Rhinolophus ferrumequinum: one gene and its partners. The protein of the gene in region 3 binds, or shares a complex with, the protein of the main gene of each other region. Links are inferred from orthologs where the notes say so. Each region holds a gene or a part of one and is shown on either strand. Other genes may lie near its edges.

Region 1 (10,003 bases), on a different chromosome or scaffold from region 3:
GTGTATTTTCCTCTCAAAAACCTTGGTTTTGAAAGGTAGAGAAGGAAGGTAAAATAAATAAATAAATAAATGAAACTACATACAAATATCAATATTTTCTTTCAGTCAGCAAATACTTTTTGGATAGAGCTATTTGTATGATCAGTCTGGAAATTGGATTAAGTTTATCTTATTTTGGAAAACACTGGGTCAACATAGGGACTTTTGTTTTAGTTTATTCAAAGTCTTCTGACTGCAGATACAGTTAGTAGGCCTGAGGTTTGTTCTATCTATCTATCTATCTCCATCCACCCACCCACCCCGCCACCCTCCGAGCACCCTTCATCTACATTTCAGGTATTTATCTGTCTATGTATCTATCTAACTACCTTCTTCCTACCTGTCTAGTGAGCCCTGTGATCAGCCTGCCTCTTGCCTTGCAAACTGCAAAGTTCAACACCTTTGGGGTATATAGGGCAGCACTGGCACCTGGGCCAGCACTGCGCCCGTGGCGGACCCCAAAGACGTCTGGAGAACTGTTGCTCCTTGCATACACATCTGCCTCCATTTATGTTAACCGAGCATCCGTTCCTGATGATCTACATGTCTGTTACTTTTTTTTATAGGGCAGCTTGAAACAATGTGGAGGAGAAGAGGTTTTCCTAGGTCAGTTTTTATATAACAAAACAGGAACCACGGTTCAAACCTTTGAGCTCCAGGTAATGAGCCCTGGCTAGGGGATGCGGGCTCCGCTCCTGGGAGGGGTGTGTTGGGGTTGCGTGCCGGAAGTGGTGTGTGAGAATAACCGTGACAGGAGCATAAGCTAAACGAGGCTTTTCTGAGCTTCAGTTCTGAGCTCCCAGTGCTTATGTGCATTTTAATGCAAAAGACAGGCAAATACCGAAGTGGCTTCTAAGCCTAATTCTTCCTCGTTTGCTATCACTTTTTAAAAACTGTATTCACCTTCTCAGTCCTTCTCTTACCAGTCTGGTTCCCTTGCACTGTTAGGTTAGACAGTCACTGTCTCAACTTTCTTATGAGGGCGGTGGTGCAGTATGAGATGGTTAGAGGCAGAGAGGAAGTCAGGGGAAGAGAAAACAAATACTTAACACCAGACGATACAGGCAAAACTTCTCTCCTTAACTCAAAGGGGAAAAAGCACCAACTGTTAGCATACAAGGCCCCCGAAAGTCATTAAGGTGCATGAAATATATCTTCACTGTCTCTCATTAGCCACAGGAAGTAATGAAGAAATACAGAAGGCGTCTCATATCATGTAAAAGCAAGTGTTTGATGACACTACTTGGCCCATGGTGAGAAAATCTAGGCTGAAAACAATGTGTTAGAACTGAATGTGCCTGAGGAGTTTCCTATGTGACTGTACGGCCGTGTCACTCACTCCCTCATGGGACGGCCATGTAGGAGCACTGTGGGGGCATCTGAGAGGAAGTGAGAGCACCTGGTGTCCAGGCTGCCATACGCTCTTCCTTCCCCGGAACTTGTCTTCTTAGGAGCTCTTTACTTACGGTGGCTCATTTTCTCGTCCACTAGAGTGATGTTTGGATACCCTTGTGTTAGGAAGGGAGGAAGGAAAGAGTTTGAATTTCCCATTACGTCAGCCTTCCTCGGGATTCTTTGAGATGGATTTCTTGATAAGGCATTAATTTTATTTTTTCTTTATTTTCAGCATGAAGTTTCTGAATCCTTATTATGTGTGAAACTTAAAATCCTCAGCAACTGGGGACACACGAAGTACACTTGTTTATATAGATTCAGGGTGCACGGCACCCCGGGAGACCACACCTAGAAGAGCTGGTGCAGAAGGTGACGGCCAGGGGGTTAGGACAGCCAAGTGTCCCTGCCCCTTCGCTTCACTACACTCAGAGGGGTGGAAATCGGCAGTGGGAGGGAAACCTCAAAGTGGATGAATTTTACTAGTAAAAGTGTAAAAGTGATTCAGTCTCCTTCTGGTAGCTTTGCTTTGGGGATGAATGTCGCTGGAGCCCTGACAAGTAAATCTGTCTCGAAGGTGGTATTACTCAACAGTCTTTCTCATAGGAACACCTCTGCCTTCCTTAATTTGTTCATCCACACCAGGCGTGGATGGCCTGTTACCACTGTTACTTAACACATATCTGGACACACTGGTCAATTTGGTTAGATAAGTGAAAGAAATCAGAGTTTAAAAGGAGTGAGGATGTCTGACCATGACTATTTGCAGATGATCTGATGAATTCCTTCAAATGCAATAAAGTCAATCAAAAAATACACCACACACAGGAAAAACTGCAGTAAGTTAGTGGAAAGAAAATTACCACATATAAATCAACATTATGTATAAATACAAACAACCAGTTGGAGGATATAATTTACAAAAGCCACAACAAAGATGAAAACGAATCAGATAAACGAAACAATTAAACTACCTGTTTGAAAACACTCCAAACAGCAGTGGATGATAAGAAGACTTCAATGATGGAAAGACACACCTTTCCTGTGGATACGAAAACTCAGCTATCAAGATGTCAGTGTTCACTAAATTAATCTATAAATTCACTTTAATCTCAATTAACACCCAGAAAAAAGGTATTTCTGAGACAATTATGGGAAATTAAGGATATTTCAGTGCCTGTGTGATAATAGTATTTCGATGTTGTTACTAAAAAAGAATTATTCTTGTTTAGATTTATATATTTAAATATTTACAGATGAAATGATATATCTGAGATATGTTTCAAAATAATAAGAGGAGGAAATGTATGGGAGGATCCATAGAGAAGACTGGCCATGCAATGATCATCGAAGTTGTGTGCTGGTCCACGGGGCTTCATGTCTACTATTCTGCATTCATTTACATATGTTTGATATTTTCAATTTTAGAAAGTTTTAAAAAGATTAAAACATATATAAGTAACTAGAAGTGTTGTGTTTTAAGCCAAATTGATTCTAAAGTTCATTTGGAAATATAAACTTAGTAGGAAGCCAGGAAACCTCTGGATGAAAAAAAAAAGACAAAGAACTGTATGATGTTGATTAAAACAATAATTAAAATTGTGTGGTGCTAGAACATTGATAAACCAATGGAACAGACAAAACAAGTCTGTTTCTGATATATCAGAAATAGATTTATATCTATGTAGGAATTTAGAATACGATAACGGTGGCATCTTAAAAGCAGACAGGAAAAAGGAATGGTTTGGGACAATTACTCTGTCATTAAGAAAAGAAAATTGCACCTATTATTTCTCACTTTGCAACATGACGAATTTCCAATATGGTGATTATTTATAGGTAGGTAATGAAACCATAAAAATAAACCAAGAAAACTTGGGCTAAGTCTTGTATGGCATTGGATAGAGGAAGACCTTTTCTAAACAAGACTCACACTTACATAAAATTGAAAAAACCTCTACATGGCCAACAAAACCTTAAACAAAACAGAAAAATATATTTGTCATTGATATCATGAGGACCAATCTTTTCCATATGTAAAGAGTCTCGAGAAAGCAATACTATCAATAGCTGCATAGAAAAACGGCTGGACAGCACAAAGAGATTTTTCTTAGGAACATATGAAAAGGTATTCGAGCTTATTTATTTTAAGAAAAATGTCAAAAGTTACACGGTAGGTACCATGTTTCACCAATGAAATTAAGAAAAGTTTGATAACATTTCATTGGTAAGGCTTTGAGGAAATAGACTCTCTCACACATTGATGGTGAAAATGCAAACAGAGAAAACCATTGTGGAGGGAACCTGGCAATGTCTCTCAGAATTAGGAAGGCACATACCTTTTGACTCAAGGAGTCACGTGCAACATACATATATAACACGTTAATCAGCAATGTTCACCAGGAGGAGAGAGTAAATAAAATGGGAATGGGGCAGAAGAGACACCCACATAGGTGGAAGCAAAATGGTCTACTGTATAATGTTTTGTTTTCAAATCACGTGAAAATATTACCTATTCCTTACCTATACCATTTTTTAATTAAAAAATGTTTAGCATAAAACATGGTCTCTCGTTTTCTTACGTAATGGTTGTAGAGGAAAAACTCACTTGTGTTTCTCCTTTACTCTCACACAACAAACACACTCACAACAATTCTGACACCAGATTGTGTGGGGTTTTTGTGTTTGTTTTTTCTTTCTCACACCAGGCAATTCAGTGGTACCAGCCGGGCATCCTACAATTCTGACACAACCGGAGTGAGCTCAAGAGCGTCGGGCTCAGTCCCACGAGACCGCTCTCTATTTCAGATGCCAAATAGTAGATCCCCAGGTTACCCACAACTTCTGTCCAACTTGGCTTTCCATGATTACCCTGCCATAGATTCAATTATTTGCTAGAACAGCTCACAGAATTCAGGAAAACATTTAAATTTACCATTTTGCTATGTAACAAAGGGTATGACAAAGGATAGAGATGAGCAGCCAGGTGAAGAGATACATACGGCCAGGTCCAGGCAGGCCAATGCAGAGGCTCTTCCTTCCCCGTGAAGAGGGGGCCCCCTACCCTCCTGGCACACAAACGTGTTCACCAACCCAGAAGCTTCTGAACCCCCTACTTTTGGGATCTTTATGGAGGCTTCATCACGGTCGGTTCTTAACCCCACTTCCAGGCCCTCTCCCCTCACTGTGCACTCACAAGGCCGAGAGGCAGATTCTCACCCGGGGCGTGTGGGGCGCGCGCGCAGCAAGGCCAACATTTCAGTTCTATCCGCCATCTTTAAAATGGCGAATAGCACTCACCTATGGGTGCTTGTTACCAAGGTGACACCAATCAGTGTCAAGTGCTATAAAAAGGGTAGTGATTGACCCCACCCTATGGATGGGTACCATTCAACAGTGCCTTGGAAGTGAAACACGGTGGGCGGCCAAAAACGTGGGTTTCCCTCCCAGGTGGTGGGTACGTCCTTTCTCAGAGCCCCAGGGCCCAGCATCCAGTGCCCAGTGCCTGACACTTCTCATGGGCGCCACAAATGTTAATTTAAAGGATATTTATGACATTTATTGAAGTAGTTTTCCTTTAACGTCTAAAACACGAGAAGAGTCTTTGAAGAGCCGCTTAAGCAAAACCCATCCCTTCATGGAGCGCATTTCTCAAAAGACATTCATTCACTCGTGCCGCACAGTGTGCTGTCCGTCATTTCACAGTTTTCTCACGTAAAAGAAAAAGAAGACAAATCCAACCTGAACCTCTGAGCTATGCCAGTGTCTTCCCAGTGAGCAACTTTTTCAACATTAAGTGCTCACAACAGGACTGCAAATGGGCCCCCGAGGGATGGGGAGGACGAACAAGCACGGGGCACACGCTGGGCAGACGCTTCGGGCCGCCCGGGAAGGCGCACAGTCCTTACCTGGGTGGAGCGCGCAGCGCCTGCGGCGGTGAGGACGGGCTCCCCGGCTTCCCACTGCACACCCCGCCTGCCGTCGGCTGTGCTTCACTGCCACCGTGCTGCCACCTGGGGGACGGGATGAGGGCACTTCCTTGCACAATAAGCAAACATAATGAACTCCGAAACACCAAGCTGGATACAGTTTTTGTTCCTTTTTTTTTTTTAATCGTGTAACATCATTACATCATTTATGCTTTAAGGACTTTCACAGGATCTGGTGAAGTTCATCAGGAGACAAAGTTGCAGTTACCACTTAACGTCAATGTTCTCTAAACATGATCCCGCTTTTACCACAATTTTAAAACCGTGATCCAACGTGGTGCTACGGGCCCCGGCGAGCGGGAGCCAGCACTAGCGTCTGGGCCTGGAAGGGGTTCGAAAGTGACCTACATCCGAGCGGCAGATATCTAAGCGATCATTTTAATTGCCTTTGATAAATAAGCGATTGGTTTTAGTTCTGACGTTTTAACAGAATTGGCAACAGGTGTCACAACGTTCTTCCAAAACGTGAGTCCCCGGAACCACTCCTCCTACCTGGGGGCGGGGAGGACTGGCGCGTCGCCGAAAGCAGCCGCCTGCTCGGCCGGGGGCGTTACCGAACCCCGCCTCCCCGCGTACGTGACCCACAGCGTCACACGGGGCCCGCCTCCCCGCCGGGGGGCGTGACGCGGCTCACGGAGGCCGGGCCGAGCCGGGCGGAACCTCTGGGCGCGCGGCGGCGTTTCCGGAGGGACGCCGAGGGCGACACCGGGGTCCGCGGGTGACGGGTCCCCCGCGCGGGCCCGCGTTCCGGCATGAAGTTTCGGGCCAAAATCGTGGACGCGGCCTGTCTGAACCACTTCACGCGTGAGCGGGGCCGCGCCCGCCCGGGCGGTGTGGGGAGGAGCCCAGAGGGGAGGGCGCGCCGGAAGGAGGCTGCGCGCGGCGGGCCTCGGGCGAGGAGGGCGCGGGCAGCGCGCGGGACGCGCGTCTGTGGGCGGGGCAGCGGGTGCCCGGGTTGTTTCTAAAACCCGCGTGCCGGCGCCTGGCGTTCCCTCGTGGGCCGGCGGCGGGCCGCGGGAGGCAGCCTTACGTGGCGCAGACCCCGTGGCCCAGTGTGCTGCCGGCGTGGATGCGCCCTGCGAGCGCCGGCGCCTCGTTGCAGCCTGACGTGCGCCGCGCGAGTGGCGGGGTGTGGGGAGGCTGCCGGACTTCTCGGTGCTAAGCTGCTTTCCGGTGGGGTCCCACGACGAACGGCCGTGTGTCCGCCTGGAGGTGGCGCCGTGTTGAGCTCGGGTTCGTGGTGTGCTTGCCAGGAATTCCTTCCCTTCACCCCCTGCTACAGGAGTCAGCAACATGATAGCCAAGCTGGCCAAAACCTGCACTCTGCGCATCAGCCCGCGTCACCTGAACTTCATCCTCTCCGACAAGGTGGCCAGTGGAGGGGTGAGCATGTGGTGTGAGCTGGAACAGGTGAGCAGAGGCTCCTGCGAGGCGTCACACGCTGCCCGGTGCCGTCGGAGAGGGCACAGGTGTCCCTCCTTGTCTTCCCTTAGGAGAACTTCTTCAACGAATTTCAAATGGAAGGTGTGTCAGCAGAAAACAATGCGATTTATTTAGAGCTGACATCAGAGAATCTGTCTCGAGCCTTGAAAACTGCCCAGAATGCCAGAGCCTTGAAAATCAAGCTGACTAATAAACACTTTCCCTGCCTCACCGTCTCCATAGAGCTGGTGAGTAGGAGGGGAGCGATTCTGAAACTTCCCAGAAGGAGCTGCACTGGCTGGCGGTTGAACGTTAACTGGTTTTCTGGCACCTGAGTGTTTTCCCCTGGACTCAGTTTCTCCTCCTACTTAATGACATTGCTTGTTCAGCACACGTCCCAGCTCCTAACCCAGAGCAGACCACGCACACCCTGAGTATCTGTTGAACAGGTTTTGATGAATGGAACATTCCACTTAGATGTGGTATGTTAGCTTTTTTATTTTTGTCCCTTAGTTCTTTTTTTGTTTTGGTTTTTTTTAATATTGACGTTATAAAAATACTGTGTGATTCTTCTCTTGGCAGTTATCTGTGTCGAGCAGTAGTCGCATTGTAACCCACGATATCCCCATAAAGGTCATTCCTAGGAAACTGTGGAAGGATTTACAGGAACCGACAGTCCCAGACTGTGATGTGAGTGACGCTCATTTTTAAAGGATACTCCACGAAAAAAAATGGAGTATTTGCCTTTTGCTGTTTACATAAAGATCTTAAAACAGGGCAGCGTGTAGCAGTAAAGCCACACGCCACAGGTGGGAGACAATGTCTTGCTCAGCAGTGGCGCTTAAATAAAACTAGACTACACGGAGGGAGCACTGTGGGGGACTGGTTTCTGTCGGGAGTGATGGCTTAGGCGCCTGTTTGGGTCTCAGAACGTGATTTTACCTCATCCTGTAAGGAGTGATGCCTGGGTGTGCGTAAGAGCCAAGGGCAGAGGCTACCCCAGTCCTGGCAGGAATCCCTGGGCAGCGGGAAATAAAGATGAGGCCCACAAGTCTGTTGCTTCTTGCATACGATTTATTGGAGAAGAGACCGTGGAAAAGGAATTTTACTGGAGGATATCCGCACCACCTGGGAAAAGCCAGCATTGTATCAAGCACTGTTGGTGACCTGGTCTGAGCGCTGGTGCAGGGACTTCCTCATGGTCCTTTTCCGGGGTAAGAAGGCCTGTCTGAGGGTGTGTCCCTCAGAGTCTTATTCCCCTTGGGTAACATAAGGCCTCTGGCCGAAGGGCTGCAGTCTGTGGAGCCAGAGTGCCCACAGGTGTGTGGTCGCCAAGGTAACCACAGAGGCAGGCGTGAGTTAGGGAAATAAAATTGTTTTTGTTTCATATTTTAAAAGGACAGTGTAAAACTCCAGATTCCAGAGCTGCTAAGCATGCATGCGTGGCAAACGTAGGCAGTAGGTTGCACCTGTCAGCACTTGACTGTACTCACATCTTTAATTCTCCTGAGTTTTCTCATTGCTTTCGTAGGTTAGTATTTATTTGCCAGTCCTGAAGACTATGAAGAGCGTGGTGGAAAGAATGAAAAACATCAGCAACCACCTTGTAAGTTACAACTTCCTCGGAAAGGAGCCCGGAGTATTGGGTTCAGGCGGCATGCCTGCCACAGGTGTGGGGGCCCTGTGGGTACCCTGAGGCCCGGTGCGGCGGGCGCCCTCACCGGCCTGTTCTTGAGAGCTGCGGTTTCACGGAGTCCAGGAAACCTGTGCTGGTGCTTTCCTCTCTCTCACGGGGGAGGCTTTTATATTTGCCCTGGTCCATCACACTTGTATTTATAGCCTATTAACAACATAGCCAACAGTTCTGGCTTCCTTCACTTGTGTTTTGGACAAAACCTCCCAGCTTGTCTGTTGTGTGTATGTGTTTTATGAATCACCGACACTGGCAGTGATGGAAGTGTCCTGTCTACTTAGTGGCGGTCTCAGCTCGGAGCCCCCCAGCACACGCTGTCGCCCCCTCATCAGCTGTTTGCCAAGTACATGGATGTATTTCCTTTGCTGTTTGCTTATGTGGCGGTTGGTCCACTACAGTGTCACAAAATGCTACAGCATGTGACAGTGATGGGGAAGGGTGTGGATGGTCCCCAGTCACCCCTGGGATTCTCTGAATTCTTCCTTTGCTTGACCCCAAACATTTGATTATGTCCCGAATCTTCTAAAAACCTCCATCAGCCTGACGAAGTGTCCACTTTTGATCTTCATCTGCCCGGCCTCGTCCCCTGTCATGTGGCCACACCATCCCTGCAAAACCTCCCTCGACTCTTGTCCTTCCCCACACTGCCGGCTCTTTCCAGGCTCTGTCTCGGCCATTTCACACTCGCTGTGTTTTCTCCCACGTCCCCCCACGTTAGCCTCTCGCCATTCGCTGTAACTCTGTGCTCAGTGCTCTATGCTAAGTGACCTGCCAGCATCGGAAAGGGAAACGCTATCTCAACCATCTTTGTGTCCCGGCCACCACTGTGGGACTGTCACCCAGCGGGCGGTTAATAAGTGTTGTCGCATGGACCTGGAATGAAATGTACCTTCAAGCGATCTTTGGAATTGCAAAGGTTTTCTGAAGCCTAGGAAATGTTTGTGGGCCGTTCATACCTGTGATGGTGGTCACATAAGAGTGATTGTGTTTCTTGGCTTAATCTCCTAGATGTCATTTGAACTTGCAGTCAGCTTCCGCTGCTGCAGTGTGAGCTGTGCTGCGCTTGGGGTGCTCCCGTCAGTGCACCATTGTTGACCCAGATGTCAGGTGGGAAGCTTCCACTGCCAGGGCGGGATGCCCTGGGGACCTCAGAGAGCTTCGAAGAGGCCCAGGAGAGAAAAGGCCAGGCCGGTCAATTCATCTGCGGACCCCATTGTTTTGTTCTTTCTGTCCAAGGGCAATGAGTTGGCCCAGTAGCCTGGGTAGAGAAAATCATCAGAAGAAGTGTTTTTCTCCGGAGTATTTAAAAACAAACAAAAGTGTTGTGGCGTGCCTGCTGCCATCTGCCCTCCTACATGGAAAGTTGTCACGTGTGGGAAGTAGAACCAAGGGCCCGAGGACATCTACCCGGGTGACAGGTTCTGTGTCTTAAGGTGACAGGCAGGGGACATAAGGCCGCTGAGTGCGA
Region 2 (9,494 bases), on a different chromosome or scaffold from region 3:
ATACAGCTTCCCGGGCTCCTGTCTGGGGGCTTCTGATTCAGTGGGTCTGGGATGGGCCCAGAAATATGTATTTTTAACAAGCACCTCAGGTGATTCTTACAGACAAAGTCTGAGAAAACTTGTTTTAAAAAAGCACTTTAGGCTGGAGACCAGAAACCGAGCTAGCATTCAGAAGCAATTGTGTTGGGATTTCAGAGTGCCCATACTCTCCTAGCTGTCACCATTCTCCTGGGAGGGACAGTTGTCCAGGGTGGCCCTCGGCGCCAGTCAGAAATAGGTGTTTTTCCCAATGTGGTCGGCCTGGTTGACCGTGCTGGTGGTAACTTCATCTCATTTCTCTCCCACAATGCCTGACCGCCACCAGCCACTGGACCCAGGGTCTCCACAATCGCCCGAGCACTTGGAATCAGTAAGATTCTTTCCCTCTGGCTCGGGGCTTGGCCTTGTTTTCCTTTCACTGCTCAGCATGGCTTTAGTGGACAGGGACAAGACACTAAGCAGGGGAAGGGAGCCTGTGGCTGGGTGACTGCCAGCCCTGCACTCAGGGCACCCCGAGCTTCTGGGAGTGAGGCACTGTGTGACTACCACCTCGTCTCCCCAGAAGGAGGGCTTGTGCCCACTGCTCCTGCCCCTCACATCACGAAGGCACACTGAGCAGAGCGTGCGTGGCAGGAGGACATGGCACGGGCGTGGTGCGTGTGGCACAGCAACCACAATGCATGGTGGGCCTGGCAGGTGGCAGTGTTTCCTCTGGCTTTCCTTTGCCACAGGAAAGGAAAGCTCCATGCTTTAGCATCCCCTGGGGTGGTGAGGACACATGGATGAGGTGCTGGGACCATCTGCCACCGTGCGTCTGTGTGCTGTCCACCTTTGCCACTATCTAGGCTTTGGTGGCAGTGCTCGCCTGCAACCTCCCAGAGCAGCTTCCATTTCTGGGCTGCCGGTTAGCTCAGTGCACGGTGCCAGAGCAGCCAGTGGGTGCCCCCACCGTCTCCCCGCCTGATTAACTCAGGTTTCTTTCTCTCCCTGTCTGCCACACGCAGCAGCAGAAGCGGCCCAATCCTGAGCTCCGCCGGAACGTGACCATCCGAGCCGACCTCCCCCTGGGCGCACGTTAGTATGGGAGAGTGGACTTCCGGCCTGAGCCTTGCTCTGGGAGCACGGCCGGAAGGGATCGGACTCCGGATGCTGTGCCCAGCTCAGAGGGATCTGATCCCAGAGGGGATGAGAAGGGGTGTGCCCTGGACCTCTGCCCCTCACTGCCCCTATTTCCTCCCAGGGCGGAAGATGAAGCCGCTGCTGCCCCGCGTCAGTTCGTACCTGGTGCCCATCCAGTTCCCGGTGAACCAGCCGCTGGTGCTACAGCCCTCGGTGAAGGTGCCACTGCCCCTGGCAGCTTCCCTCATGAGCTCAGAGCTTGCCCGCCATAGCAAGCGAGTCCGCATTGCCCCTAAGGTGAGTGGCTTCTGATTTCCTCGGAGGAGTAAAAGTGTTGGACCTACACCTGCAACGTACTCTGCTGAATGTTCCTTGAGAAGCTTATACGTCTAGTTGGGCAGACAAGGCACACATACAAAGGAAAACTTAATTATAAAGGCTAAAAAGGAATTTGGATTACAATGTAATGGTACCAGAAGGCCCATAAATACCTGATGAGTTTATAAGAATTCAGACAAGGTGATGATGACAGACGGGCTGGGAGGGTTAAGGAAGAGTTTGCAAGGGAAGTAGGTCTCAGAAAGGAGTAGATTTAGGTAAGCACCCAGGTGTGGAGAGAGCATGGAGGCAGGAGATGCCGGCTTGTGCCCAGTGACGGTGGAGGGCCTGGGTCAGTCTGGCTCCGCGTTTCTCAGCCTCGGCACTGTTGACATTTAGAGCTGGATAAATGTTTGCTGGGGGTGAAGGGCGGCTGCCCTGTGCACGGGAGGATGTTTAATGACATCCCTTGTCTCCTCCCACGAGAGACCAGGAGCACTCCCACCCCGACCTGTGTGACAATCAGAATGCCCCAGACGTGGCCACAGGTCTCCTGGGGGCGGAATCACTCCTCAATGGAGCATCCCTGGTCTAGTTTGAGGGAAAGTGAGGAGATTAAGCCATACTGCGATGGACTACCAAGTCTGAACTTCACCCTCTCGAGAAGGTTTTGAGAGCGGGAGCTGACCTGGAGCAAAGTAGGGAAAAGGGCTCCTGCCCCCTCATGAGATGGACATAGCATGGGCTCTGGAGTTTAGAGAGACTTGGGTTTGCTTTTGTTTTATTTAAAAGATACTTTTAAAATATATATAAAATTATACATATCACTATATGTAATTTTACATATGTGTGTTAATGTGATGGTAGCATGTGTATGGTTTTTGTTTTAATGCAGTCTTTTTCCTCCTCCTTTTTGTCTCCCCGCCATTTCCCCTTCACCCGCACCACCCTCGCTCTCCAAGCTAACCCGTGTTGACAATTTAGAATGCTTTCTTCCATACTTTATCCATGCTCTTAGTATAACAGACATATATAGCCATAGTCATTCTATATATACACACACAACACAGAACATTGAAAATGGGATCATATTACACACTCTGCTTCATGGAAATTCTTCCAAACCACTTGGCATAGCTCTAATTCATTTTTTTTTTCAATTTTTTCCCCCTTTTCTTCTTTTATTGGGGAATATCGGGGAACTGTGTGCCTCTCCAGGGCTCTTCAGCCCCAAGCCAAGTCGCCGTTCTTTCCATCTAGTTGTGGAGGGCGCAGCCGAGCCCCAAGCCCAGTCGCTGTCTTCAATCCTCGTTGCAGGGGGCGCAGCCCACCATCCCATGCAGGAATCGAACCGGCAACCCTGCTGCTGAGAGCTCGTGCTCTAACCAACTGAGCCATCCGGCCGCCCTAATTCATTGTCTTTTAATGGCCACATAATATTCCATGGTGTGGCTATGCCATAATTTTTCCAGCCATTCCACTTTTATGGGCACATTTTGTTTCTAGTTCTTTTGCCTTATGAACAACATTGCAATAAATATCTTTGCAAGTATCTTTCTTACTAATGCTTTCATGTCTCTGGGATAGAGTCGCAGATATGAGATTGCTCAGTGAAGAGGTATTCTAAATTTTACCTAATATTGCTAGATTGCTTTTCCAAAAAAATCTGTGATAATTCACATTTCCACCAGCAGGATATGACAAGACCGGTGTCTTTCTTTGCCAGCAATTGGTGTTATTAATCTTTTTAATATTTGCCTGTCTAATGTGCATAAATGATGTCTCCATGAACTATTTGCTTAGCAGGAAATGGGAGCCCCTCCTCATTATATTTCGTCACTTGGGAGTGTTCACTGTGAATTGTTTATTTATGGACTTTGCCCATTTTTCTACAGGGTTTCGTTAATTGTGGGAGTTCTTTGTTGTTAAAATATTAACCTTGTCTTTTATGTTGAAGATTTTTTTTACTTCTACTGTTTGTTTCTGAACTTTGTTTATGGTATCTCTTGCCACAATAAGATATTAAATTTTTATATGGTCAACTATGTATTTCCTCTCGTTTACAGCTTCTGGGTTTCCAGTCTTGGTTAAGAAGGGTCACCCCTACCCTCAGATTGTACATGTAGTCTCCTAGGTTCTCTTTCAGGATTTGTATGGTTTTAATTTTTCTGTTGTCTTTGTAGATGGTATAAAATAGATATCTAATTTTATTTTATCTCAGATAGATAATGATTATGTCAGCACCCTTGTGGTTGAGAGCCCGCGCTCTAACCAACTGAGCTCAGTGGCAGCCCAGCTCAAGGTGCCGTGTTCAATCTTAGTTGCAGGGGGCGCTGCCCACCATCCCTTGCTGGACTCGAGGAGTTGAACCGGCAACCTTGTGGCTGAGAGCCCACTGGCCCATGTGGGAATCGAACCGGCAGCCTTCGGAGTTAGGAGCACGGAGCTCTAACCACCTGAGCCACCAGGCCGGCCCATCATATATTCTTGTATTTTATACTTTTTAAGATTTTAAAAAGACAAAAAGAGGATCAGTAGCAGCATGTCACTTACTTTAGTCATGATCTTGTGTCCCGCCTGGTGACTGGGTTGAGTCTCGAGGTTTCGACAGCCCCTTTCCACCTTATCCCTGCTTGCCTTTCAGGTGCTGCTGGCTGATGAGGGGGTAGCCCCTCTGCCCACTGCAGGACCAGTGAAAGAGGAGAAACTCCTGCTTGGAGAAGGGCTGTGCCCTCTGCTTCCAGTTCAGTCCATCAAGGAGGAAGACATCCAGCCTGGGGAGGAAATGCCACACTTAGGGCGGCCCATCAAGGTCGAGAGCCCACCCCTGGAAGAGTGGCCCTCGCCATGCCCGTCTGTCAAAGAGGAGCTGTCTCAGTCCTGGGAGGACTCGTCCCACTCTCCCACTCCAAGGCCCAAGAAGTCCTACAGTGGGCTCAAGTCCCCAGCCCGGTGTGTCTCGGAAATGCTCGTGATTAAACGAAGGGAGCGGAGGGAAAGGAGCCGGTCTCGAAGGAAACAGCACCTCCAGCCTCCCTGTGTGGATGAGCCCGAGCTGGTCTTCTCAGAGGGCCCCGGGACTTCGCGCCGAGCCCCAGAGCTCGCTCTCCCCTCAGAGTCCTCTGCGCCTGTCTCCCAGCTTGGCTACTCCCAGGGGGAGGAAGGACCTTTTAAGACACCCATTAAGGAGACGTTGCCCATCTCCTCCACCCCAAGCAAATCTGTCCTCCCCTTGACCCCTGAATCCTGGAGGCTCACACCCCCAGCCAAAATCGGGGGGCTAGATTTCAGCCCAGTACGAACCCCCCAGGGTCCCTTTGGTCCCTTGCATGACTCCCTGGGGCTGACAGATCTCAGTACCACCCCACTGAAAAATATCCCCCTTTTTGATTCACCTCAAGAGCTCCTCAATTCCGAGCCTTTTGACCTCCCCTCTGACCCCTTTAGGAGCTGTTCCCCCTCAGATATGGAGGTCCCCAAGCCAGGCTCCCCTGAGCCACAGGTTGCCAGCCTTTCAGCCAACCGTTCCCTCACAGAAGGTCTGGTTCTGGACACAATGAATGACAGCCTCAGCAAGATCCTGCTGGACATCAGCTTCCCTGGCCTAGAGGAGGACCTGTTGGGCCCTGACAGCGCCAGCTGGGCTCAGCTCATCCCTGAGCTGCGGTAGAGATCTGTCCACTCCCGGGCACTTGTGGGGCTGGGCCTGGGCCGTGCAAGGCCTCTGTGTAAGGACAGCAGGCAGGGCCTGTCCGCTCCTCGAGCCCCACCTTGCCCGGTTATGCCAAGGCAGACGTCACGCCATAGCTGCCACAGGGCCCTCTGCAAGCAGCAAGGCCCTGGTGCCTGGTTTCTGCTGCCCTGTGCTTCCCGCGAGGACCTGATTCCTCCCTATCCCTGCTACAGCTGGACGGTGGGCGTAGCAAAGACAAAGGGGAAACAAGATTAGGAATTCCTCAAACTGTGTGTTCTGTGCCCAGCAGTCCCTTACCTTCCCTGTTCCTTGCAGGGGGGCCCTTGTAAATAGTGTATATTCTCCAAAATTATCCTCTAATTATAAATGTAAGCTTATTTCCTTAGATCATTATCTAGAGACTGCCAGGTGGGTAGGATGACAGCGGTGTCAGTTGGCTTCTGTTCCTTGCTTTTAGTTCCTAGAGAAGGGGGGGACCTGCGGTGCACGGTTTCTTCCAGGCCCGAGGTACCTGCCTCAAGGGTTCTTTACTGTAGGCCCCCAGACAGGTGGATCTGCTTGCCAGGGTCCCTCTTATTGCCCCTCCCACCACCTCATGTTTCCAAGTCAGCTTTCCCACAAGAAGTCCTTGTTATGAGGTCTCTTGTAATAGGTCAAGTTGAATTGGGGGTAGGGGGTGGATGCATCTAAAGCAAAGAGTGGGTGCCCAGATGTGCACCCATGAGATGTTTCTCTGATAATGTCCCTAATCATGCCAGGGAGACTAGCATTGATGAGAACGTGGCCCAAGGTGTGAGAAGGCGGAAAGGGCCCTGACCTGCCTGGCTTCCTTAGCTTGCACTGCAGCTTTGCAAAGAGCTACCCTCGGCCCCAGCTGACCACGTGCCTGGGAGCCAGCTCGAGAACACTACTGTAACCACTACTCAATAAAACCCAGGCTGCAAATGCTGCTCTCTGTGGTGTGTCTGTCTGGCCCCCACGGCATAAGGAGGGGTTGGAAAAGAAAGTGGGTGGTGATAAAGACGGTGGGAATGGAGGAGGCAAGGCCTGAAGCCAACGTGGAGAAGCACCTGAAGGAGAGTGCAAAGGACCTGAGCGTGGATCACCTGTGTCACACCCTGCGCAGGCACACACAGCCTTTCGAACGGGAGCTGGCAGCTTTCCCAGTGCTGGTCCTGCTCAGCCAGTCCCCAGGAAGGGAAAGGCCTACACAGGGGCAGACCTCGGACCGTTAGGGAAGGAAGGAAGGGCCCCCTTCAGGTGCCTCATGACCACCTCCACCCCCTACCCAAGGCCTGGAAGCCAGCCTGCCCTGCTTTCCTTCCCAGGCCAGTCTCCAGAAGCAGCTCCCGTTACCATCTTTTGCAGTCAGAACTTCAGAGTCCCATCTCTTGCCCGTGTCACCTGAAGCAGCCAGGTCCCCAGGGAGTAATGAGCCCTCCTCCCTGTGTCACCACTCAGGAAGCATCACCATAGCAACCCCAGCAGCAAACAATGCTGCCTGTAAGATCTTCCCTACAGAGCTGCCCCTCCCAGCAATCAGGCTCAGAAGAAAATGGCCTGTCACCCACGAAGATCACCCAGAGGGCGGAATACATCCCATGTCAGAGAACCTTTCCGGCAGGTAGGGGCCCAGGCCCCATCCCTGGGGTGGGCCAGGCTTTCTCCAGGGCAGCAGATCTCTAGGCCCATGACCTCTGCTGTCTTCTCTTAGTCCCATAATACTGTGAACATGGAGCTCAGAACAGAGGAGAGGAGATGCCTGGTTATTACATCTGGGGTGGTCACAGAAGTGACAGGGACCTGGCCCACGAAACAGGGGACTTGTGGAATTAGAAAAGTCCTAGGAGTGTACTGGAGGAAGAGGCATCTTTGAAGAAGATGGGTAGTGCAGACAGACAGACGGCCTAGGTCCCAGCTCTGCCACTCACTCCCCTGGCACTTTGGATGAGTTATTTACCCTCATTGTATCTTGCTCTTTGCATCTTTGAGAAGGGGACCATGACAGCACCTGCTCATAGGGCTGTGAGGGTTAAACAAGGTGTGGATGAGTATTTGGCATATTTGCTACCGTTTATTTCATAGGGGTGGGGCCCAGAAAGGGGAGGGACCAACATTTTAAATGCTTTCTATACTTGCTGGTATTTTAATGAGAAGTGAGGGCAACACAGCAATGACAGAGAAATGAGTCACAGGAGGAGTCTAGGATAGAAAAGCACCCAGCCCCCAAGCTCTGTAGAAAGACTTCCCTTCTACACTTGGCTTGGTAAGGCATGTTTTTCCTCAGGATTTCCTCAGGCCTGATGTGTCCTGTTAGGAGCACCCATTCCTGGGCGGGAGTGTGGGCACTTCCTGGGCAGCACAATGGAGAGGATGGGTGAAAGGAAGGAGCGAAGAGGGGAAATTCAAGTTGAGGAAAGAGGGTAGGAAATCAAAGCCCAAACCGGAGAGATGGAAAGAGAACAGGTGAGAAGTCCATGAAGTTCCTGCAGGTAGGGGGAGAATAATACAGAGCAGACATGGTTCCATGCCAGTGTCCTGATGGGAACCCTGTGTCTGGAGGAGACTGGCAGCTTCTTTCCTCTGCGGCTGCTCCTGGAAGAAGAGGCAGAGTGCCGGCAAGCTCCCTTTGTCTCTCCCTAGATGGTCGAGGCCGGTGAGGCCCTACTGGCCTCCCACACGTGGCCTCAGCGTGAGTTCTTCCTCCCGGATGAGCCCTGGGAATGGCCTGGCTTCACCCGGCAAGCCTACCACCAGCTGGCCCTGAAGCTGCCACCCTGCACAGACATGAAGTCCAAGGTACACCACCGACTAATCCACCCGTGGAAGGATACAACGGAGCACACGTGGGGCTTCCACACGTGGCTCGACGTGGGGCGCTTGCCGGCTACCTTCCCCGCCAGGCCCGACAGGCCCTATGACAGTAATGTCTGGCGCAGGCTGACCAACTCCAGGGCTCACTGCCGCCCCCCAACGGAGCCCCCCATTCCCCCTCCCTCCTGGATGGGTCAAAACAGCTTTCTGACCTTCATCTGCAGTAATCCTCCTATCTTCTTGGATGCGAATAGGAAGAGCCAGGTGATGTTCAGGACAGCGAAGGAACTAAGAGAGATGGAGAAACTCAAACTGAGGAGTGAAGCAAGGGCACCTCCACTTGATGCCAATGGCAACATCCTGCCCCCAAAGAACTTCAAGAAGTAAGAGGCACTCCTTCCTCAGGGAGCTCACCCGCCAACCCACATTCAGGTGACCCCTCCCTCTCTCTGCTTCCTGTTGCTGATATCTCACTTGGTACTCTAACTTTCCCACCTCTGGTCATCAAAAACTAAACTCTGTTCTGAATGTAGCTGGAGGGAAGGGATGGAGGCAAGGGAAGGACAGCCAGGAGAGGGGTTCAATTTTTTAACTAAAATTATGGGGATGCGACCATGTACTTAACACCTGCTAGGCTCTGGGGAGACCGAGAAATGCCATGCAGTCCCCGCCCTCAAGGAGCTTACGAAAGGCAGGAACCTACTTATATACATGCGAGGAAAGAAATCTATCAATACAAGCGCACACGTGCTAAGTGCCCAAAGTGTGAGACAGAGGATGGGTCTTGTAATGATGTCCATTATTAATGGAAAAACCTGAAAGCTGGAGTTGGAGGCTAGAATTAAAGTCTAGACTGTGTTCCTTTGGCAAATTGCTTAGCTTTTCCAGACTCAGTTCCATCGTTGATTGTTAATAATTCCATTATCAACAAAATAGGCATGGTAAATACTATGCCTACCTCAGTGGTGAAGATAAAGTTGGTTAATGAATATACGAAAGCTCTAAACAAAAAATAGACATTATTACAGAAATTCAGATGAGGGAGGGAAGAAGGGGTTGCTGTGGGCTGGCACATCCTCCCAGGAAGGCTTCATGAGGAATTGGATGAAGGCTGGAAGGGTAGGAAGCCTTCGGAAAGGCAGAAAGGAGGGGCTGCCTGGTGTGAGCAGAGAGGAATGTGAAAGTTGCTATTTGAGAACCCCACAGCTCTCCCCACCTTGCCCATCGTGGGAACTCACAGATATTGCCATACTGGGTCCTGTCCAGTACGAGTGGCCGGAAAGGAAGAGAGGAATAAGGAATGGAATGTCTCAAATTCCAATCCCAAGGGCATTAACAGAAGCAGTGAGAGGTTGGAGGGGGAGGCGTGGAGATCTGTAATCTTAAAAAAGCAATGCCAATACTTGGTAATTTTGAGAGAAGATTTTTCAGGCCCTTCACTTCCCTCTACTGTCCCTACAATGAAGACTATTTTTTTATTTTTTATTTTTGTATATTTATTTATTTATTT
Region 3 (9,348 bases):
GCAATTATGGCTTTCCTGTATCTTAGGGAGCTCTTCAGGCTGTTCTATGAAGCTTTCCTTGCTTGGTAACATCAGCAGTTTGTGCGGAGAGTTTATAATCTGCAAGAACACACCATTTGCTATGGGATTAGCACACTGGTAAGTACAATATGAGCAGTGATAGGACACCTCCGTGCTGTTTTTCCCTAGGACCTATCTTTTTCCTCTCTTGTAACACAGCCTCTTTCTCTGAGCCATCTTGTCCGTGCCCAGCCATGGATGAGACTAGTCCATTCTAGAGTGATCTCCTGAGCTCTAGATCTACATATCGAACTACTTTCTGGTGTCATAGGCACGTCCAATTTAACATAAAAAAATTTCAACTCCCAGTTCCCACCACCAGATCATTTCCCACACAGGAGATGAACGATAACCACGAACCATCTAGTTACCCATGCTGAGAGAGATCATTAGGTGGGGGTCTTCTGAAATACTGTTGAAGTGCCTGGAATTTTAATTCCGATCACTGCTTAAATAGGGTTCCGCTGATTTCCATTTTGGTTAACATTTTAACAGAACTTGAGTCCAATTTTTATCTGCCTACTGCCATGAAAAGAGCCGTCAGTTCTTCTAAAGTAGATATTAAAAAATCCTTTACTCATTAATATTCTGAAATATTTCAGAAGAGAATATTTAAATTCTCTCCCTAAATTGATTCTAATCCCAAAAAGAGACTTGCCATTTCATAATTTTTGGGGTCAAAATTTCAGGAGCAGCTTGATAGTTTCTGACATTGTATTCCTGCTGAAAATTACCCTCCATTAGGAAGCTTACCTTGACCAGTCCTCCCTAAGTATTCATGTGTTGGTTCCCTAAGTATCTCTGGGTATTATCTTGGTACTTAATGTCATGCAGTTTCGTTCCTTCTCTGCTGTTTCACATATTTCCACTTTACCTTGATTTTAAGCTGTTCCTTCCTGTAATGCTTACCAAGGTAAATATGCAACAGTAGGTGATCAATAGATACTCAGTGAATAAACCACGTATAGAAAACATCTATCTACTTCCTTTTGAAAGGAAAGAAAAACCAACACTACCTAACTAGGAAGCTTTAAATAGTGAGTTAATCTTCCTGGGTCCTGGGTGTCCTGATCAATAAAAGGGGGAGGTAAGAGTAAACGCTCTCCAAAGTTCTGAAAATTCTAGGAACCTGGATAATAAAAGTTCTGCATCCTAAGCAAATGCGTAAGTAGGCAGATAGTATCAACCACATTAGCTTCATTATACTGCTTTCAAGTACCTGAAGTAAGGCTTGTCAGGAGACATGGTGATCTGTAGGACCTCACTTGTCATATCCAATTCAGAAAATGCTTCACGGAGCCCCTCGGACTGCAGAATGATTTTATTAATAACATTGGTGCTGCAGAAATCAAAATCCAGAGTTTCCTCAGGCTCCTGCGTATTGATTTTACAGACTGTCACCACTCCTCCTTCTTCAAGAAACAGCATCAGAGGGTAACCATAACCTTGATAACACATTCGAAGTGCAGTTAAAATCCCTGCAATGGAAATAAATCACACTTTGGGCTTAGCTTTATAGCTCTGGGTTCAGCTTTTCCTCAAATGATACATAAAACTCCTCAAGGGTACTTTATTCTGCCCAATTTCTAGCATATGTCTCTCTAAGAAAGGATCACATCTTCCCTGATGACAGCTGTGTGTAGACAATTCCAAAAATAACTGCAAGAAAATTGGGAAGCAGAACAAAATGTAATGTAATGCTCTGAAATTTCCCAGCTTGCCAGAACACCTCAGAAATACCTTACTGATGGTGTGTGTGTGTGCATGCGCACACACACATTTCAGGTTGGAGCATCTACTTGGTCCAATACTGTAATTAAGAGTTGTTGCAGAATAGGCTATGCTGTTTCTTGAAGGTTCAATTTGTGCAACAGTGGATTGCTTTGATATTGTCTGTACTATAAGGCCAGTGTATTCACTGTAAGGATCCTTCCTGCCTTTCCTATTGGGAGACATCCTTTACATTGCCCCAAGTTTTAAGATCAAATTGGGAGCAAAAGAGAGGGTGGTTAATGGTGGTTAGGGTTTTAATACTGCAACCCATTTGAGAGGGAGAAGAATACGTATGACAGGACATTCTGGCTCTTTTCCCTTATTGTAGGATGGAAGCCTGAGTGAGGGATGGGGGAAGGCAGATGCTTTTATGAAAAACCAGGTACGTTAGAGGATGTATAATTAATAATGGAATTGTCAGTACAAAATTAAAATATATTTTCTAGGGAACAATAACTGAATTTTCCCTAGCCAATCTCAGAGTCCACTGCTATGAAATAAAATCATTCTTCTGGGAATTTCTTGTAGTTGTACATCCATAGCAACTGAATTCACTATTCCTAAAAACTCCCTAAACAAATAAAATATATAAATATTGTAAAGGAAAGCATCTAGGAAAATAGACATAATTTATAAACAGGGCTTAACGGGAAAAAACAGTAACCAAATTCTGAATGCGGTAAACTGGAAATCAGGAGAATTGGTTTCTATTTTTCTCTACCACTAAACTGTAATTCTGGACAAGTTAGAGAAAAGCAGCAATTACTACATATTTCACTTGTTAAAGATATTTAAAACGAAGTCTTCTTTGGGTCAGTTGAAATTTAAAACCTAAAAGCTTTGTAAATTTAAAAAGATGAATGTAAGTACTTTTGCAAATATGAAAAGACCCATAAGCACACTTTCTATTAATATTTTCTATGAAAGTCACAATCCATGATTGTGACCAATGAAAAGTGAATTGGCAGTTCATTTTCTAAAGAAATGTTTATATTACATTCTAATAACTTTTCCTGTATTTTTGACCATTCTCTCTGCTTTTATGTTGTTATAATGTTAATAAAATGGTTCACCTGGCATAGGACTTGATCCAAAAATAGATAAGCAGTCTAAAAGGACAGTTAAATTAATTCGAAAAGTAACAGGCTCTTCCTGAACTTTAAACTCTTGAAATATTCCAGCCTATAAAAAAAGTGAACGAAAAAAAATATATTAAAGAATGAAAACTCACACATAAGGTTCTAGATTTCACTTTACATGTTTTTAAAAAATAATATTGTGTTAATCTTATTAAAATCATTTCTGATTACCAATAAAAACATCTTAAGCTTTTTCAGCTATCAACTCTATTCAATAATTAAAGCTGTAACAGTGATTTAGGTCCCATGCAAAACTTTATGAAGGGTCCTTCATATAACTTATTGGATCTAAACTATCCCCCATGTGACTCTCCCCTGTCTTTGGAAAATAGTCAAACAATTGAATAATGCATGAGTGATACTAGTTTTCAATTTCTTTTAAGGACAGGAACGTCTTATTTATTCAAGGTCATACTGTGCTCTTAGGTGTTCAGAAAAAAACGTTGAATCAAATGTGAAATCTGAATCATACAAATACTACTTTGTAAGAATAAACATATTATATTATAACCGATAAAAGGAAAAAAATTAATAAGAGGGAGGTAGTGGTAAGGAGTATATACTCTAGAAACATGTTTTGGGTTCTCATCCCATCTCAGCCACTTGCAAGCTGTTGGACTTTCGGCAAATCCCTTAAATTGTGCTTCAGTTTCCACATATGTAAAATGGGAATAATAGAGCCTACCTCATATTGTGAGGGTTAAATGAGTTAAACATGTAGAAAACAGAAGAGTGCCTGGCCTATAGTTTAAATTTTAGACATTATTTTTAACCATTATCTCTGTAAAACAAGACAGGGAAAGAATTTGTTACCTACCAGCAATGAAAAAAAATTCAAATAATGATATTGTTTTTTAACTTAAATGTCTATTAAGACCTTGGGAATTCATTAAACTGAGTAAGGAATAGCATGTCACAGACTTAAAGATACCTTCTTCCATACCTGAATAAAAGCATTTGCTTGCACACACTTTGCATTTTCCACTGTAACCTTGATTCCATTTTTAGTAGCAAAACACGTGGCATGTTCTCGGAAATGAATAGCCTTTAAGATAGTGGAGAGATTCCTAACGTTGTCAAGGCTGGCCGTCAAGCTGTAATCATTCTCCTCTTCGATCTGCTGGTTGAGGAGGGGCATCGTCTCCTGCACATTTGGCCCGGAGGAATGCTCCTGCTGCCAACACCTGCTCCCGCGGATCACGACACACCTGGGAGATTCGACAATAAAACTCCCCATCAATGCTGGCGAAGAAGCCCGCGATCTCAGCCTGCGCTGAGGCGAAGTGGAAGAGGTCTGGGCGTTGAACTTGGCCGACAGGGGACTGCTACTTAACTGTCTCTGTCCTTTTGGGGGAAATTATTTCTCTCTCTAAGCTATGGTTTCCTGTTTTTTAAGGGGGCAATAACACAGGAAAAGTTGCGAATAATGAAAACAGACAAACACTGTAGTTCTGCTTGTGGCCAGTTTCCCCAGTGTCGGTTCTGGCGCCCCCAATCTTTCTTTAACAGAACACGCAATGGGGAGGCGGGCCCCGATTCTCAAAAGAGCCACCTTGAGTCTCAGACAACCGGGTTTACCAGCCCGTCGCAGGGGCAGCATCTGTTTACTGGTCCAGGATTGCAAGGCGCAGAAACCCTACCTTTGCGGTGAGGTCTGGACTCCTGTGAACCCTTCCCAGCCAAGTCACCGAGGAAGCTAAGTGCAGCTCGGGAAGAATTGTAGAGGAAGGGGAGCAAGTCCCGCCACTTTTTTCAGATCGGCCGGCCACTTCGGCCACCGTCACCATAGAGCTACACGAGGCCTAGAGAGCCGAGCGTGCAGTACCACAGAGGCCGGAAGGAGGCACCATGGAGCTGGAGGACCACAGAGCCGAGCGCGCAGTACCATAGAGATCGGAAAGGGGAGCGAGCGGCCGAGCCGGAAGGAAGCCCAAGAGCGAAGGCGGCGAGGCAAGATGGCGGCGACCAAGAGGAAGCGGCGTGGAGGCTTGGCAGTTCAAGCGAAGAGACCAAAAAGAAGCGAAAAAGATGCCAGGCCGCCGCCTAAGCAGCGTGATATGGCAGAGGAGGCGGAGAATGAAGAGAGAAACCGTATCCCAGGCCCCGTTTGCCAGGTAAGGGGAGCTACTACCCCCGAGTTACACCTGCGGCCGCTGCTCCACGCACTTGCCCTGGGTTTACCTACCTAAATACAAGTCTGAGGATTTTGGAGTTGCCGAGGTGTTACGGGAGTTGGGTCTCAGCTGTCCGGGCGCGACTAGCCACCGCGTTTACATCTAATTCTCGTGCACGTGGTCGCCCTCTTGGGTGCGTCCGACTAAGCAACGGGGCGGGCTTCAGAGCTTTTAGCTGGCTCACTGGGAATCGACTAACGGAGTACTCAGTTCCAATGTTCTGTCTTCTAGTTATTCCACTTTATGTCGTTTGGAGGGTAGAACTTTCCCTTAAAGTAATTTCTAGATGTTTAGTGTATCCTTACAGTGATTCGTATTCTCATATTCTGCCATAGTCAATTACTGTCAGTCAGGGATCCTGAAGCTTGTAATGTGGTCCTTTAAAAGTTGCTGTTCTTGGGACTATGACTTTGACTTACTAGATCTTTAGCTCTCGAGGGATAACGAAAGCTAGAGTGGATAGTACAAGTTCTACTTGTATTCAACAAACTTTTAACGTGATAGGCACTGTACGAAATTAGGTTTCCCCTGCTTTGGGATTGCAAAACTGGAACGTGATCTCTTCCTGAAATGTTGGAGTTTAGAAGGAAACTAAGAATTCACATAAGTCGATGGTTTTTATTCAAAAGAAGGTGAACACAAGATGTTGGACTCACTTTCATTCAACTGAGAGCTCCCTGAACTAGATTGAGTACTGTGGAGTCAGGGATTGCCTTTGATTTGTTAATTTCTGTGCGCCCCCAACCCCCACCAGCTTGGCATAGTACTCTAGCACATAGTAAATGATGAATAAATGATTGTGGTGTGGTGGCAAGCACTAGGAAAGGAGTTAACTGAGGAATGAAAGATGAGTTTAAATTCTAGCCTTGCTATTAAGAGCTCTTTGCTCATCTGTATATTATTAGGAGGAAGGAAATGTGATTTACTTTTGGTGAAGAATAATCGGGACTTCCAGTAGATTTTCAATAAATTAGTGCTCTCATCCCTTAGGCATCATTGATTTGAGTCATAATAAGAAAAATCCTAGTGATGTGCAGAATGTAATAACTTTTACCCTAGGATAATCTGGTAAGGGATCATGAAGGAGTTAGCCTTTGAGCTGGATCGCAAAGGACAGAATTTTGATATTCAGAAACGAGAAGGAACAATACAAGGAGAGAAAAAAACCAATCAAAGGTGTTGAACTGTGGGAAATGCTGAAAACTTAAAGAAGTAAAGCCTGATTGGCTAAAGTGTAGGGTTGATTTGGGACAATCTGAGGTGAAAATATAAATGTATTTTAGAATCGAATGTTAAAAACTATGTCATTTTGGATTGTGTTTAGAAAATGCTGGGAGCTAAGAATGTGATTGGAGCAATGCTTTAAGATTAAGCTGGTGCTAGTCTGCCATATCTATTGCAGGAACTCCTCCCTGGAAGGCTAGCTAGCCATTTAAAAGATTTGTAGTTGATATAAGATCCTAACGATCTGAAGGAGGGCAGAGGGAATAGGAAAGGATTAAAAATTGTTGCAAAGAGAAATTGACAGCATTTAGTAGTGCTTATGGTATGAGAGAATATGGGCAGGTGGAAGATTCAAAGCCTGGGGGACTGAAATGGTGGTGATATCATCAGAAAACTAAATAATAAGGAAATATACCAGATTTAAGGTTTAAGTATTCTAGGATTGAATTTGAGATTAGTAGGGTTGGGAGACAGTTCTTTACCTTTTTGTAGAGTTGGCAATTGAAGCTATGAGAGTGATTATGAGAACTGTGTCCTGGAGAGAACAGAAATAAAAGAGGCTAAGAATCTTTAGAGTTAGGATGAGGAGTGGAAAGATTGAAGAAAAAAGAAACAAAAAAGGTAAGGGAGCAAAGGAGAGCATTTCTGGACGGCAACTGAGATTAGTGAATGCTGCTGAGTGACTGAATTTAAAGGGTTAGGTCAGGATTGTTTGACTTGCTACTTGGAAGCTTTATCTTTAAACAAACAACCAGTCAAGGTAGGTTCAGTATGAAACTCAAAATCTTAACAATTTCTTTTTCTTTAGGGCAAGTGGAAAAATAAGGAACGGATTCTCATCTTTTCTTCCAGAGGAATAAATTTCAGAACAAGACATTTAATGCAAGACTTAAGAATGTTGATGCCTCATTCTAAAGCAGGTGCCTTTATGTCATATACTTTAAAATTTATGTTTATAAACTTGCCTATTTATGTATTCACATTTCACGTCACACTTCAGTTTTTCAATCTTGTGAGATAAAGAACCACTACTCCTCAGAAGTATATATTTTCAGTGCCAAGATGTTTCAAGTTCACATTTTGTCAGAAAGTTTTTGCAGAATTTATTAAACATTCTCTTCACTTTCTTAAACAGATACGTCCTAATTATTGAAACATTTCTTGCAGGTCCAGAAATGCCTTCACTGTAATGCTCTCTCTCAGAGGTCATGGTTTGTCCTTTGAAATGATTCAGGACTGCCATGTATTGCTTTCTGCATTAAAAAACAAAAAAAGAAAACAAAAAAAGACTTCTTATATAAAAAATAATGGACCTAGAGTAGGATTTCAGGCACCTTTAAGTTGGAGCTCAGTGTGCTTCTAAATGCCGAGCTGATCTTTTTAGCAACGGGGTATCTTACAAGCAAATGAAGAACGTCTAGTTTTAAGTTTAGAACTGTGGCAGTGTCATCATGCAGCTGTCTTTGTGCCTGTGTTGGGAGATGCCTTTGGTTTTAATTCTGGGTAATAACTTAGTTGGTTAGATCAATGTTTCTCAAACTGGGATGTGCTGTTATATTTTCAGATCTTTGAAACTACTAAGAAATTTTAATTTGTATTGGTTTCCTTTTTCCTATGGTAATCCCAAACCATTTTTTTTTATTAGTTTTCTTTGGCAACTGTGATTCAAATGGAAAGAAATTTTCATCACTTCACATTTTAGTTTCTTAAAGTGAGTGTTCCTTAAATGGGAGTCCTAGAACATAGTTTTCAGTTGTGAGAATTTTTCATTTTTGAAAGAGATTCATAGAATACAGAAAGTCTGAGAACCACTGCTTACATCTTTTATAATTCTTGAGGAGTATTTTTAATCTCATTTTTACATTTAAAAATTTTAAAGAGGTCATGTGTTTTCAGATCTGATTGTTTTGAATATTAATAAAATTTCATTTAAATTGAAGATTATAAAAACTTTTAAAAGTATTTTCTAGAAAGAATGTGATTTGATTAAAGAAGGTTTGAAATCTTTTGTTTACTTGCTTTTTCTTTTTTTCTTTTTATAGACACTAAAATGGATCGTAAAGATAAGTTATTTGTGATTAACGAGGTAATTTTAGAAACTAACTAAAGTAAAATGTTCTAGGAACACTATTTAGGAAAAAAATATTTTGGAACACTAATACTCATTTTAAAAAGTCAGTTATTCAGTGACTTATATTGTTTTGTAAAATATACTTAGATTTTATTGAATCTTTAATAATCTATCTTCTAAATTTTTGTAGTACTCATTGTCTGTATCTTATGTTTTATCTTATATTCAGTATATATTGTTTCTTGATGATTCTTACATTTATTTTGTCCAAACAAGCACATGAACATTTTCTGGGAACAAGGATTCTCTCATTTTTTTCCTCTCATTATGTCTAAGATAGTGCAAATTGCTTAGTAGGTATTCATACAAAAACTACCAATCAGCATGTATGAAATATAATTAAAAACTCATTAAATATTTTTAAAACCCCACATTGTAAAAAGCATTTTGTCAGTATTAAAAGTGATGCATGTGGTATTTGCTCTTACGGTATTACCAACAAGTAATAGGTTAAATTTTCAAAGTGTTGTTGAAGATACTAACCTTACATTTTACAGCAGATGTTTAAAGACTTAGAATTTTTTAAACAGGATTTTCTTTGGCTATTAGAAAGACTTTTATTCATTTAGCATAATATTTGAACCTCTGCTATATCGTGGTATTGCTCTCTGCGTGCCATGGAAATGTGTTTTACAAAACAACACCCCGTCATTGTGGAGCTTACATTCTAATGGCAGAGAGAGGCCCTAAACAAGTCAAGTGAAGACAGGAGAAGTAAAACGGTATGGGTTTCCAGCAACTGAGGCTGGACTAGAAAACTGCCGATGGAATGTTGCTGTGTTTATTCCAAGACCAGTAAGAAACAAAAGCATTTGACATAAGAATTTTTTTTATTCGTTTCAGGTGT

What was found.
Region 1: the proteins of RAD1 (region 3) and HUS1 are in contact, whole or in part, in a crystal structure (PDB 8GNN), measured with the Homo sapiens proteins. The link is inferred for Rhinolophus ferrumequinum from reciprocal best matches to the Homo sapiens genes RAD1 and HUS1. Residues at the interface, in NP_002844.1 of Homo sapiens: Asn85, Val88, Asp91, Cys92, Ser94, Ile95, Phe96, Gly97, Ser98, Gly127, Val128, Val129, Thr130, Val131, Cys132, Lys133, Ile134, Asn135, Gln137; in NP_004498.1 of Homo sapiens: Thr165, Ser168, Val169, Lys172, Met173, Asn175, Ile176, Glu197, Leu198, Val199, Cys200, Val201, Thr202, Thr203, His204, Phe205, Lys206.
Region 2: the proteins of RAD1 (region 3) and RHNO1 are in contact, whole or in part, in a crystal structure (PDB 6J8Y), measured with the Homo sapiens proteins. The link is inferred for Rhinolophus ferrumequinum from reciprocal best matches to the Homo sapiens genes RAD1 and RHNO1. Residues at the interface, in NP_002844.1 of Homo sapiens: Asn47, Gly48, Ile49, Lys50, Phe64, Ile65, Gln66, Ser149, Lys155, Ile157, Glu211, Ala212, Lys240, Val241, Ser242, Arg244, Gln254, Tyr255, Met256, Phe266, Glu268; in NP_001239428.1 of Homo sapiens: Ser55, Trp56, Val57, Ser58, Pro59, Asp60, Phe61, Asp62, Thr63.

What each region holds. Positions count from the first base shown.
Region 1 is NC_046303.1:1,214,754-1,224,756, reverse strand, and holds the start of HUS1 (checkpoint protein HUS1), read left to right. Parts: upstream 1-5,926; 5' UTR 5,927-6,172; coding exon 6,173-6,224; intron 6,225-6,702; coding exon 6,703-6,830; intron 6,831-6,913; coding exon 6,914-7,090; intron 7,091-7,424; coding exon 7,425-7,532; intron 7,533-8,373; coding exon 8,374-8,448; intron 8,449-10,003. Other genes in the region: SUN3 (SUN domain-containing protein 3), read left to right, coding at 606-698, 1,667-1,786. UniProt on the Homo sapiens protein: Component of the 9-1-1 cell-cycle checkpoint response complex that plays a major role in DNA repair. The 9-1-1 complex is recruited to DNA lesion upon damage by the RAD17-replication factor C (RFC) clamp loader complex.
Region 2 is NC_046293.1:87,884,602-87,894,095, forward strand, and holds the start of RHNO1 (RAD9, HUS1, RAD1-interacting nuclear orphan protein 1), read right to left. Parts: upstream 4,107-9,494; 5' UTR 4,030-4,106; intron 1,456-4,029; coding exon of another isoform or gene 1,280-1,455; intron 1,114-1,279; coding exon of another isoform or gene 1,044-1,113; intron 410-1,043; coding exon of another isoform or gene 365-409; intron 1-364. Other genes in the region: FOXM1 (forkhead box protein M1), read left to right, coding at 365-409, 1,044-1,113, 1,280-1,455, 4,121-5,146; TEX52 (testis-expressed protein 52), read left to right, coding at 6,726-6,794, 7,814-8,367. UniProt on the Homo sapiens protein: Involved in microhomology-mediated end-joining (MMEJ) DNA repair by promoting recruitment of polymerase theta (POLQ) to DNA damage sites during mitosis.
Region 3 is NC_046290.1:22,851,565-22,860,912, forward strand, and holds the start of RAD1 (cell cycle checkpoint protein RAD1), read right to left. Parts: upstream 4,461-9,348; 5' UTR 4,210-4,460; coding exon 3,916-4,209; intron 3,016-3,915; coding exon 2,907-3,015; intron 1,539-2,906; coding exon 1,280-1,538; intron 1-1,279. Other genes in the region: BRIX1 (ribosome biogenesis protein BRX1 homolog), read left to right, coding at 4,928-5,086, 7,179-7,290, 8,413-8,456. UniProt on the Homo sapiens protein: Component of the 9-1-1 cell-cycle checkpoint response complex that plays a major role in DNA repair. The 9-1-1 complex is recruited to DNA lesion upon damage by the RAD17-replication factor C (RFC) clamp loader complex.